Bombyx mori: one gene and its partner. The main gene of each other region encodes a partner of the protein of the gene in region 2 in a complex. Links are inferred from orthologs where the notes say so. Each region holds a gene or a part of one and is shown on either strand. Other genes may lie near its edges. The genes, in order: ras-related protein Rab-21 and rab5 GDP/GTP exchange factor.

What was found.
Region 1: the proteins of rab5 GDP/GTP exchange factor (region 2) and ras-related protein Rab-21 are in contact, whole or in part, in a crystal structure (PDB 2OT3), measured with the Homo sapiens proteins. The link is inferred for Bombyx mori from reciprocal best matches to the Homo sapiens genes RABGEF1 and RAB21. Residues at the interface, in NP_001273991.1 of Homo sapiens: Leu253, Cys254, Lys296, Phe299, Asn300, Lys303, Pro309, Ala310, Ser311, Ala312, Asp313, Phe315, Leu316, Pro317, Ile320, Leu347, Met348, Thr349, Gly350, Glu351, Gly353, Tyr354, Tyr355, Thr357, Asn358, Cys360, Cys361, Ala364, Phe365, Ser373; in NP_055814.1 of Homo sapiens: Ser19, Phe20, Lys21, Gly26, Glu27, Gly28, Lys32, Thr33, Leu37, Thr50, Thr51, Leu52, Gln53, Ala54, Ser55, Phe56, Ala71, Trp73, Asp74, Thr75, Ala76, Gly77, Gln78, Arg80, Phe81, Leu84, Ile87, Tyr88, Asp91.

What each region holds. Positions count from the first base shown.
Region 1 is NC_085107.1:9,454,436-9,459,000, reverse strand, and holds ras-related protein Rab-21, read right to left. Parts: upstream 3,100-4,565; 5' UTR 2,966-3,099; coding exon 2,958-2,965; exon of another isoform or gene 2,791-2,957; coding exon 2,634-2,790; intron 2,550-2,633; coding exon 2,382-2,549; intron 2,299-2,381; coding exon 2,180-2,298; intron 2,095-2,179; coding exon 1,884-2,094; 3' UTR 297-1,883; downstream 1-296. UniProt on the Homo sapiens protein: The small GTPases Rab are key regulators of intracellular membrane trafficking, from the formation of transport vesicles to their fusion with membranes.
Region 2 is NC_085116.1:16,256,567-16,260,395, reverse strand, and holds part of rab5 GDP/GTP exchange factor, read right to left. Parts: intron 1,717-3,829; coding exon 1,537-1,716; intron 883-1,536; coding exon 659-882; intron 1-658. UniProt on the Homo sapiens protein: Rab effector protein acting as linker between gamma-adaptin, RAB4A or RAB5A. Involved in endocytic membrane fusion and membrane trafficking of recycling endosomes. Stimulates nucleotide exchange on RAB5A. Can act as a ubiquitin ligase.

The DNA of each region.
Region 1 (4,565 bases), on a different chromosome or scaffold from region 2:
CGAGCGAACTAACCTATAGACACAGCCCACTGAGTTCCTCACCGGATCTTCTCAGTGGGTCACGATTCCGATCAGGTGGTAGATTCTGCAGAGCACTGCTCTTGCTAGGGCTAGAGCCTGCTGCTGCTCTGGTTAGCAAATTCCCTCAGGTTGATCCTGCGTGCTCACCTATTCAGCCGGACGCAGCTTGAATAGCCTCTTAAGCTACCAGCGAATAGGTAAATTAAAATGTGAATAATCTTGTCTTCGTTATTTTTTGTTGACAGTCCTTACTGCCTGATGAAATGATTTATAACTTTGTTTTCAACAGACTAATTTAATTCTTATTGTCTGACATGTATGGATATCATTTTATTGATGTTTTTAATACATTATTACACGAAATGGGTTTAAAAAATTATTCTGTGATTATTAACATGTTAGATAATTAGTTGGCTGACTTCGATTTCATTAGGAAGCAAATTTCTACATTTAAGGTTATAATAGTCAATCTGAATTTGGGGCTTCCAGTTATAGAGTGCGTTGACAAAATTATGATACTATGATAAATAATACCTATCCAATTATACCTACACTACACCATGACCTCAATATAAAACCAGTTACTGTGTAAAAGTTACATAATTCGTGAAATCACCTAAAATTATGTTGCAACATTCTAATTAGTAATAAGTAGTAGGTAGTAGTAAAGTAAAGCTGTTTTACAAATCATTTGACTATGTTCGGAGATAAGTTAAAATTTCTACAAGAGTTAGCTGATAAGTCTGCATGTACATCTTCTAAGGTGTTAGGTTAAGTTATGTTAGCTAGTGAAATGGCTCAGCTTCAGCAGAGCTCGAGAGCGCTCAGCGGAGATCTGGTGGACAAGACACGTATGGCGCAAGTCTTTTCAATTATTTAACAACGTTGAGCTGTGGGATGATAAAAAAGGCTAGAAAAGCAAAAACATTTACTAATAAAAAATTTTTTTCGCAAGCTAAAGTATTAAGCTTAAATTACATATATTATTATGTATTGTTTAATCTTTCAAATTTATAATTGTGATGATTTTTCATTATACTTTTAGGTATGTCATGTCAATGAGATATGTTATCTTCACTTCAATATCATTGATTTGACATGATAAAAATTATTCACCCACACAATACCATCCAATATGCATACTTCTGCAATAAATAATTTCGCCGTACGCTATTTATCGCATATGAAATAATATGCAAAAACAAATTACAATAAAAATTTGAAATCTTGACTTGAATAAATAAGTAGTGAATCTTCTTTGCAATTAATTTTGTAGCCAAGATAAATTAATCCTATTAAAACTATATGATCTAAAATTATAAACTCTAATAATAACAAAAATAGTCATTTTAAAATTACAGGTTATCTTAAACATACCCATTATATCCTATTTTTAAACCAAACGTGAATAAAGCAAATTGATATTTATGATTTTGGCAGTGTAAGTGTATCCACCTCCTCTCTCACAGCCCCTAAGCTTATTATGTTTTGGCAAATAATATGTCATTTGATACACTATAGCACTCAAAACACATATTTGTATGACATCTTAATAGAACTAATTTAGAATTTCATTAAGATATACTGTCAAGAAATATCAAAATTCCCATGTCAAATTATATTGATTTGATAAATATTTATTTCTTAAAGATCAGTATTATATATTAAAATAAAATGTTTAATTAACCTAGCTGTTTAGTCATATAACATAATTAAATTTAGTGGAAAATTACAAGTAATCTTGTTTATTGTTAAATTACTATAAATATTTTTCTGTATAGCCACCATAATATACATTGTAAATTATTTTCATTTTTATAGTTTAAAATATGAAAACTATGAATACAAAAAAATCTATTAATTTAGGAACTCCTGTGTCCTGAACAGCAGGTTGATTGCACAGGTACCTCATCATCGACTACTACAACTTGTGATGTTCTGTTTACTTCAGTCTGTGTATTGTGTTCTTGTCTTTCCAACATTTCTCTAGTCAAGTCAAGAAACAATTCTTCAACACCCTGGTTTAATTTTGCTGAAGTGTAATAATGTTTAGCTCCTACTAATTTTGCATAGCTGGAATATATAATTCAATAAAGAGTATTTATCAACAAAATGTATCTTTAGTAATAATATTTAAGAAGATTACATTCATTCTTACCTTTCTGCTTCTTCTAGTGAAACAGTGCGTTCATGTTCAAGGTCTATTTTATTTCCTGCAATTACCAGATTAATATCTGATCCCAACATTTTCTTCAATTCTTTCACCCAATTTTTTACCTATAATTGATTTTATATTGTTTAATATAGTTACAATATTCATTACAAATGTTAAGATACAGTCATTCAAATTCTTATTTTACCTTTCTAAATGAATCTTCATCAGTAATATCGTAAACCAGAATCGCACCATTAGAGTTTCTGTAGTATATTGGTCCCAGAGCATGAAACTTCTCCTGGCCAGCTGTATCCCAAATGGAAAGATTGACACGATTTCCATTAATATTCAACCTTTTATTTAAGAATGTGGCCTACAAAAAAAAAATCCAGTCATAGACATCGACAAAAGGGATTAACTCAGTCTTACAAAATTAGTTCATATACGTCATAGTTACCTGAAGCGTAGTCAGATGCTTTTCGTTAAATTTATCTTCAATGTAACGCAATAATAATGAAGTTTTTCCGACACATCCGTCACCCAAAAGAACTACTTTAAAATTTCGTGCACCTCCAGTCGTAGTAGTCATTTTTTTAGAATATTTTGATGTAAACCTGTTACTTAACTGGTATGTGAGCAAATTAAAGTTAAAATAGACAATCAGATAAACGTTACAACACGAAACATGTAGTCTCAATAACAATTAAATTACGTTTGATAAGCGTTATAAAATGTTTAAAAAACTGTTCACTCTATTTTCAAAACCTTAACTTAAACAAACCTTAACATTAAGTTAATATCAAAATTTCACAACTATTTCATTGGTTTGATTTGTTGATATTTTCGTAATTTTAATCAAGTTGACAAATCAACACTGACAAATGACAGTGAAGAAAATTTTGTATCTGTCAGTATTCAATGTGACAGATACCAAATTTTGACAGTTTATTCTAAAGCATACGGTACAGTACCGTAGGTACCATGACATGGGGTAAATTGGGATTCGGGGGTAAATTGGGACAAACCTGCGGAAGATTCTCAAAGTACTTGTAGCACGGAATCTACCTAATTTTCTTTAAGGTAATATTTATCAATGTATAGAAGAAAAACCAAGTTAACTATGGAAGTACTAAACATGAGTTAAGTTGGTCCCAAAAATTCGTCAAATTAAATTTAAAATAGTGGTTGAAAAGTGCGTTTTAAAACAGCTTAAAGAACTTTTAAAAAAAGTAATATTATCGTTGTTTTTTCAATAAGATCACAGTTTATATAAGTTTTTAATACACCTGGAAATACCACAACAAACGGTAAGTTGCAATATTCTTATTTTAAATACAATATTTCAACAAAATAAAAAATGTATATTTTTTCCTTTCTTTTTGGGGAAAATTGAGACGTATGTAAGGCAATTGGGAACGAGACTGGAAAAATTAGGGACGAGAAAACACAAAATTGGAACGCCAAAAGACAAAATAGGGATGGCTTGTTAGGGTTGTCACTGATATCTTATAATAGATTTTTTAGCCTATACTATCACTTAATTGCGTGATGTAAAGAAGGTTAATGTGTTTATCAGTTAGTTTATGTAAGTATTATAGGTAAAAGAAAAGTATATATATAATTACTTTTTTTTCGCGACATTTACCTTGTAATATCTGCCCGGTCGTATGTTCTTTATAGCAATAAAAAAAATTAAAAGTTAAAAGAACTCAAACGAATCAAAACTTTTGTTATTTCAGAATCTATTCACGCGTCGAATCATGATTTTGTTAACATTCACAACGCACACACAAATAAAAACAGGCCTCAGATTTTAAATGTAACATTAATTAAAAATCCGAGATATCCAATTATGAGTGAGTGAATTAATTGAGTTTAGTTATTTAGCTTAGAAAGAATTTCTTTTATTTTTGTTATTATTGGCAGTAATCAGATAAAGCTGTTTTTTTTATCTTATTCACCTGATATCTTACTCTTGCTCAAAGATTATTTTGAAAATGTTGATTAAATAAAATTGTATTATTGCATTTCCAGTCCTTTTGTTTTCTATTTTTTATTCTATTTTATGATTTTGTTTCAGAATTGTGATTTTTAAGGAAATTAAATAATAATTTTCTAAAATATAACATGCATATACTTTTTTTGATCATTGTATTGTTGATTGTCATTCACGTCACATCGCTTCGGAATAGAAACCAGCTTAATTTACACTATGTTGTGTATTGTGCTTAAATTATGGATTGTATTCATCATTTCGGTCCATATAAATAATTATATGGCACCTACCAATATATCGCAGTACTGCGAGTTGACAACCCTTACAAATATCCCAATTTAACCCTTAACCGTGTCAATTTACCCCGGACGCTGGGTAAATTGGGACGGCCAT
Region 2 (3,829 bases):
TAGCTCAAATGGACTGTTACACGAGCCCAGGGTCAGAGTGGTCCAAATAACTGTGCGTCAAAAACCGCCTCACATTAAAGGGAAACCATGTGACCTGTAAGAGCATCACCATCCTTCCCATGAACGGTGTTTTTGAGTTCGATACTATTAAAAATGTTGACGTTAAAATGTCTAATAACCCCGGGAGCCACTTAATAATAGGTAGAACGTCTACCCTTCAAATAGATTAAGATATTGCGTACAAGATACAGAGGTAATATCTAAGTCTCTATATAGCCAGGTAAAATGAAATATCACAAAATTCCCCATGTAGAAAGTATTTAAAAACTTCAGTCAGCAGAAATAGGTAGGGTGGTGGTACCTACCCGTGCGGACTCACAAGACATCCTACCGCCAATAATTACACAAATTATAAATTTTGCGGGTTTTTTTTTAAACGATGTTATTCCTTCACCGAGGAAGCCAATCGTGAACATTTTTTAAGTACGCATTTCATTAGAAAAATTGATATCCGCCTGCGGCATTCGAACACTGTTGCATCGCTCGACACGAATGCACCGGACGTCTTATCGTTTAGGCCACGACGACTTACAAAACAGAATCACACCATTGGTACACCAGACAACACAACAGAGAAAAATTCAGTTTCACCACCCACCTGGTACTGCTTCTGCACCCTCTCCGAGAGCTCGTCCACATTCATTATAGCAGCCCATTTTATGACATCCAGGATGAAGGTGTGAACGAAGCCCCTAGCGTCCCGGTCTATCTGGGGGGGAAACGAGGGAAAGCGGACCCGGAAGTCTGCCTTCATACCTTCGAACACTGCGGTCGGAATCTTAAACTCTGGCTGACGTCTTTCCGTTGAGATTTCATGGTCATCTGAAATGAATAAATAGCTATAAATCTTAGCACAATCTCACTTTGATTTTGTCCGATAGATCTGTTCTTGTATTGATTATAATTGTATTGTAATAAATGTAGAGATCGCAGCGAATAAAATAAAACATCATCTTCTGTTATAATAATAATTAATTATTATTTTTTATTGCTTAGATGGGTGGATGAGCTCACAATCCACCTGGTTTTAAATGGTTACTGGAGCCCATAGACATCTAAAACGTAAATGCGCCACCCACCTTGAGATATCAGTTCTAAGGACTCAAGTAAGTTACAACGGCTACCCCACCCCCCAAACCGAAAAGCATCACCGCTTCACGGTAGAAATAGGAAGGGTGTTGTTACCTACCCGTGCGGACTCAAAAGAGGTCCTATCACCAGTAAATAAATTTGAACAAGTATATAAACATATATTCTATTAGTTTATAAAATTACAGTCTTTTTTAGTCTAAAAAAAGGAAAACCTACTCTTCCTGTCTCTTTATAATCAAGGGCATACCCTAAAGTATTAAAATCGAAAAACTAAAACAACATTTTTTGTGTTTACCAAAAAACAAGAATTTATGGATCTTAAGCCACTTTAATTCTAAAGGTGCCATACGACAGAAAAATGAACAAAAACCTTGTATTGTATACCTGTAATATTCTTCTTGAACACGTTAAACTTCAGTAGATTAGTCTTCTTGAGCGTTTCGCTTTGTCGCAGGCGCTTCTCTTCGAACTTCGAGAAGGACGCGTGCGAGGACAACTTGAGGCCGCGTTCGGACTTCCTCTGGTCCGATCTAGGAAGAGTCGATGTAAACGATGAGGCTTTCTCTGTTCGAAATAAAGGACATTCAATAATTAACCGAATCGAAATAAAGGACATTGAATAATTAAACGAAAACATTTCTCGATGTCACACGGAAATAGTAAAAGTTACTTTTTTTCCTTTTTTTTTCCCTACCTATGCTGATAGCCTTGAGAGGCTATTTCAGCTTCGCCCTAAGTACACACTTACACACCTACACAGGTGAGCTCACGGGGCTCAAGCCGCAGTGTTGCTAACACTGACCCTAGCAAGAGCAGTGCTTCGCAGAATCTACCACCGGATCGGAAACGCGACCCACTGAGAAGATCCGGCGAGAAACTCAGTGGGCTAAAGTCACAGTGCGTCGCCTATAATGTTCTGGAAGCTTTCCGTAAGCGTGATTAAATTAAAGAAAAACTATTAATCTTAAAAGAGAACCACGAATGTTTCATTTTGGCATACAAATATTCGTCATCCGTAGGTGTTAACAACTAATTTTCTTATTTATTGCTTAGATGGGTGGCGGAGCTCACGACCCATCTGGCATTAAGTAGTTACCGGAGCCCATAGATATCTACAGCGTAAATTCCGCCACATACCTTGAGAAATGAGTTCTAGTATCTCAGTTTTTACAGTACAACGGCTGCCCCACCCTTCAAACCGAAACGCATTACCGCTTCACGGCAGAAATAGGCAGGGTGGTGGTACCTACCCGCGCGGGCTCACAAGAGGTCCTACCACCAGTAACTACGCAAATTATAATTTTGCGGGTTTGATTTTTATGACACGATGTTATTCCTTCAACATGGAAGTCAATCGTGAACATTTGTTGAGTACGTATTTCATTAGAAAAATTGGTACCCACCTGCGGGATTCGAACACCGGTGCATCGCTACACACGAATGCACCGGACGTCTTATCCTTTAGGCCACGACGACTTCAAATCGATATAGAGATCAATATAGAGAAATCCGTGTTTTTCACATAATTGTTTCCATATCGCCACGGTCTTAATAATTTATATTATCATGATAAACAATATTACGTTTAAAAACTTATCTATCACCCGTCGAGAGTGTGAACTGTTACTGACAAGTTTATTGCCTTGGACGCGTATCATGCTATTAGAATAACTACATTTATCTATATCTTCCATCTCCTAATCAACATATCAATTCATTTTAATTATGGTAGTTTGTTTGTTCGTATTCAAAGAAATTTTGGGCCGGTTAGGGTTGAAATTTGGACCGTAATCATTGATATTGCAGAGTAAATGTCTAGTTTAGTACCATCGACGTCCAATAGGTGGCAATCAAATCGTTTAACCAATATTATCATCATCCATACATCCATTGCTGGATTTTAAAGAGCTCCATCTACTGGATGGCTACTTTAGCAAGTTAACGCTTCACTTATTCTGGGAATCCCCCTTATAATTTGGCTGATTCGCAGTCTTCACTCAAGCAAAATGTGGCCGTGGGAAATAATATAGAAACTACTACACTCGCTGCGAATAATTACATGCGAATAGTAGGTACATTAAAGAACAAATTCGACCCGAGAAATTTCATTAAAAAAAACCTGAAGCAGTTTTATAGGGTGCAAATGCAATGCAAAGGAGGAGTGTACAAACGTTTCCAAGAGTACCAACGGCTTAAAATAAATACGTACTGAGAGCAAGTTGACAAATGAGTTACAGCCAACAACAAAAAAAACGAAATGTCTGGTAAGGAGTATCCAAAGCACGCACGGCCTATTTCTAGAAGCAATAATGGATTCCTATCCGAATGGTGGAGCAGCCGTTGTAAAATACAATCGAATTTTCGACAACACCTCGATCTGGTTAATGGAATACAAGTCGTGAATACAGTAATGAAAAAGAAAGATTGTGCCTAAATTTGTGTCCTTAGTGCGAGTTTTTAACGTTCTCGATAGCGTAAAAGTTAACTGATATTTGTATGCAGTCGGAACAGCGCCCCTAGCGGCAAACGTAGGCAGACGTTCCAACTCCATACAAAATTGAGTTAACTTTTACGCTATCGAGAACGTTAAAAAACTCGAAATAAACACACTGGCTTTAGGTTTCGTCATCTCCCTGCATAATACGTGAACGATTACATCAGATTCTGATGGCTTTGT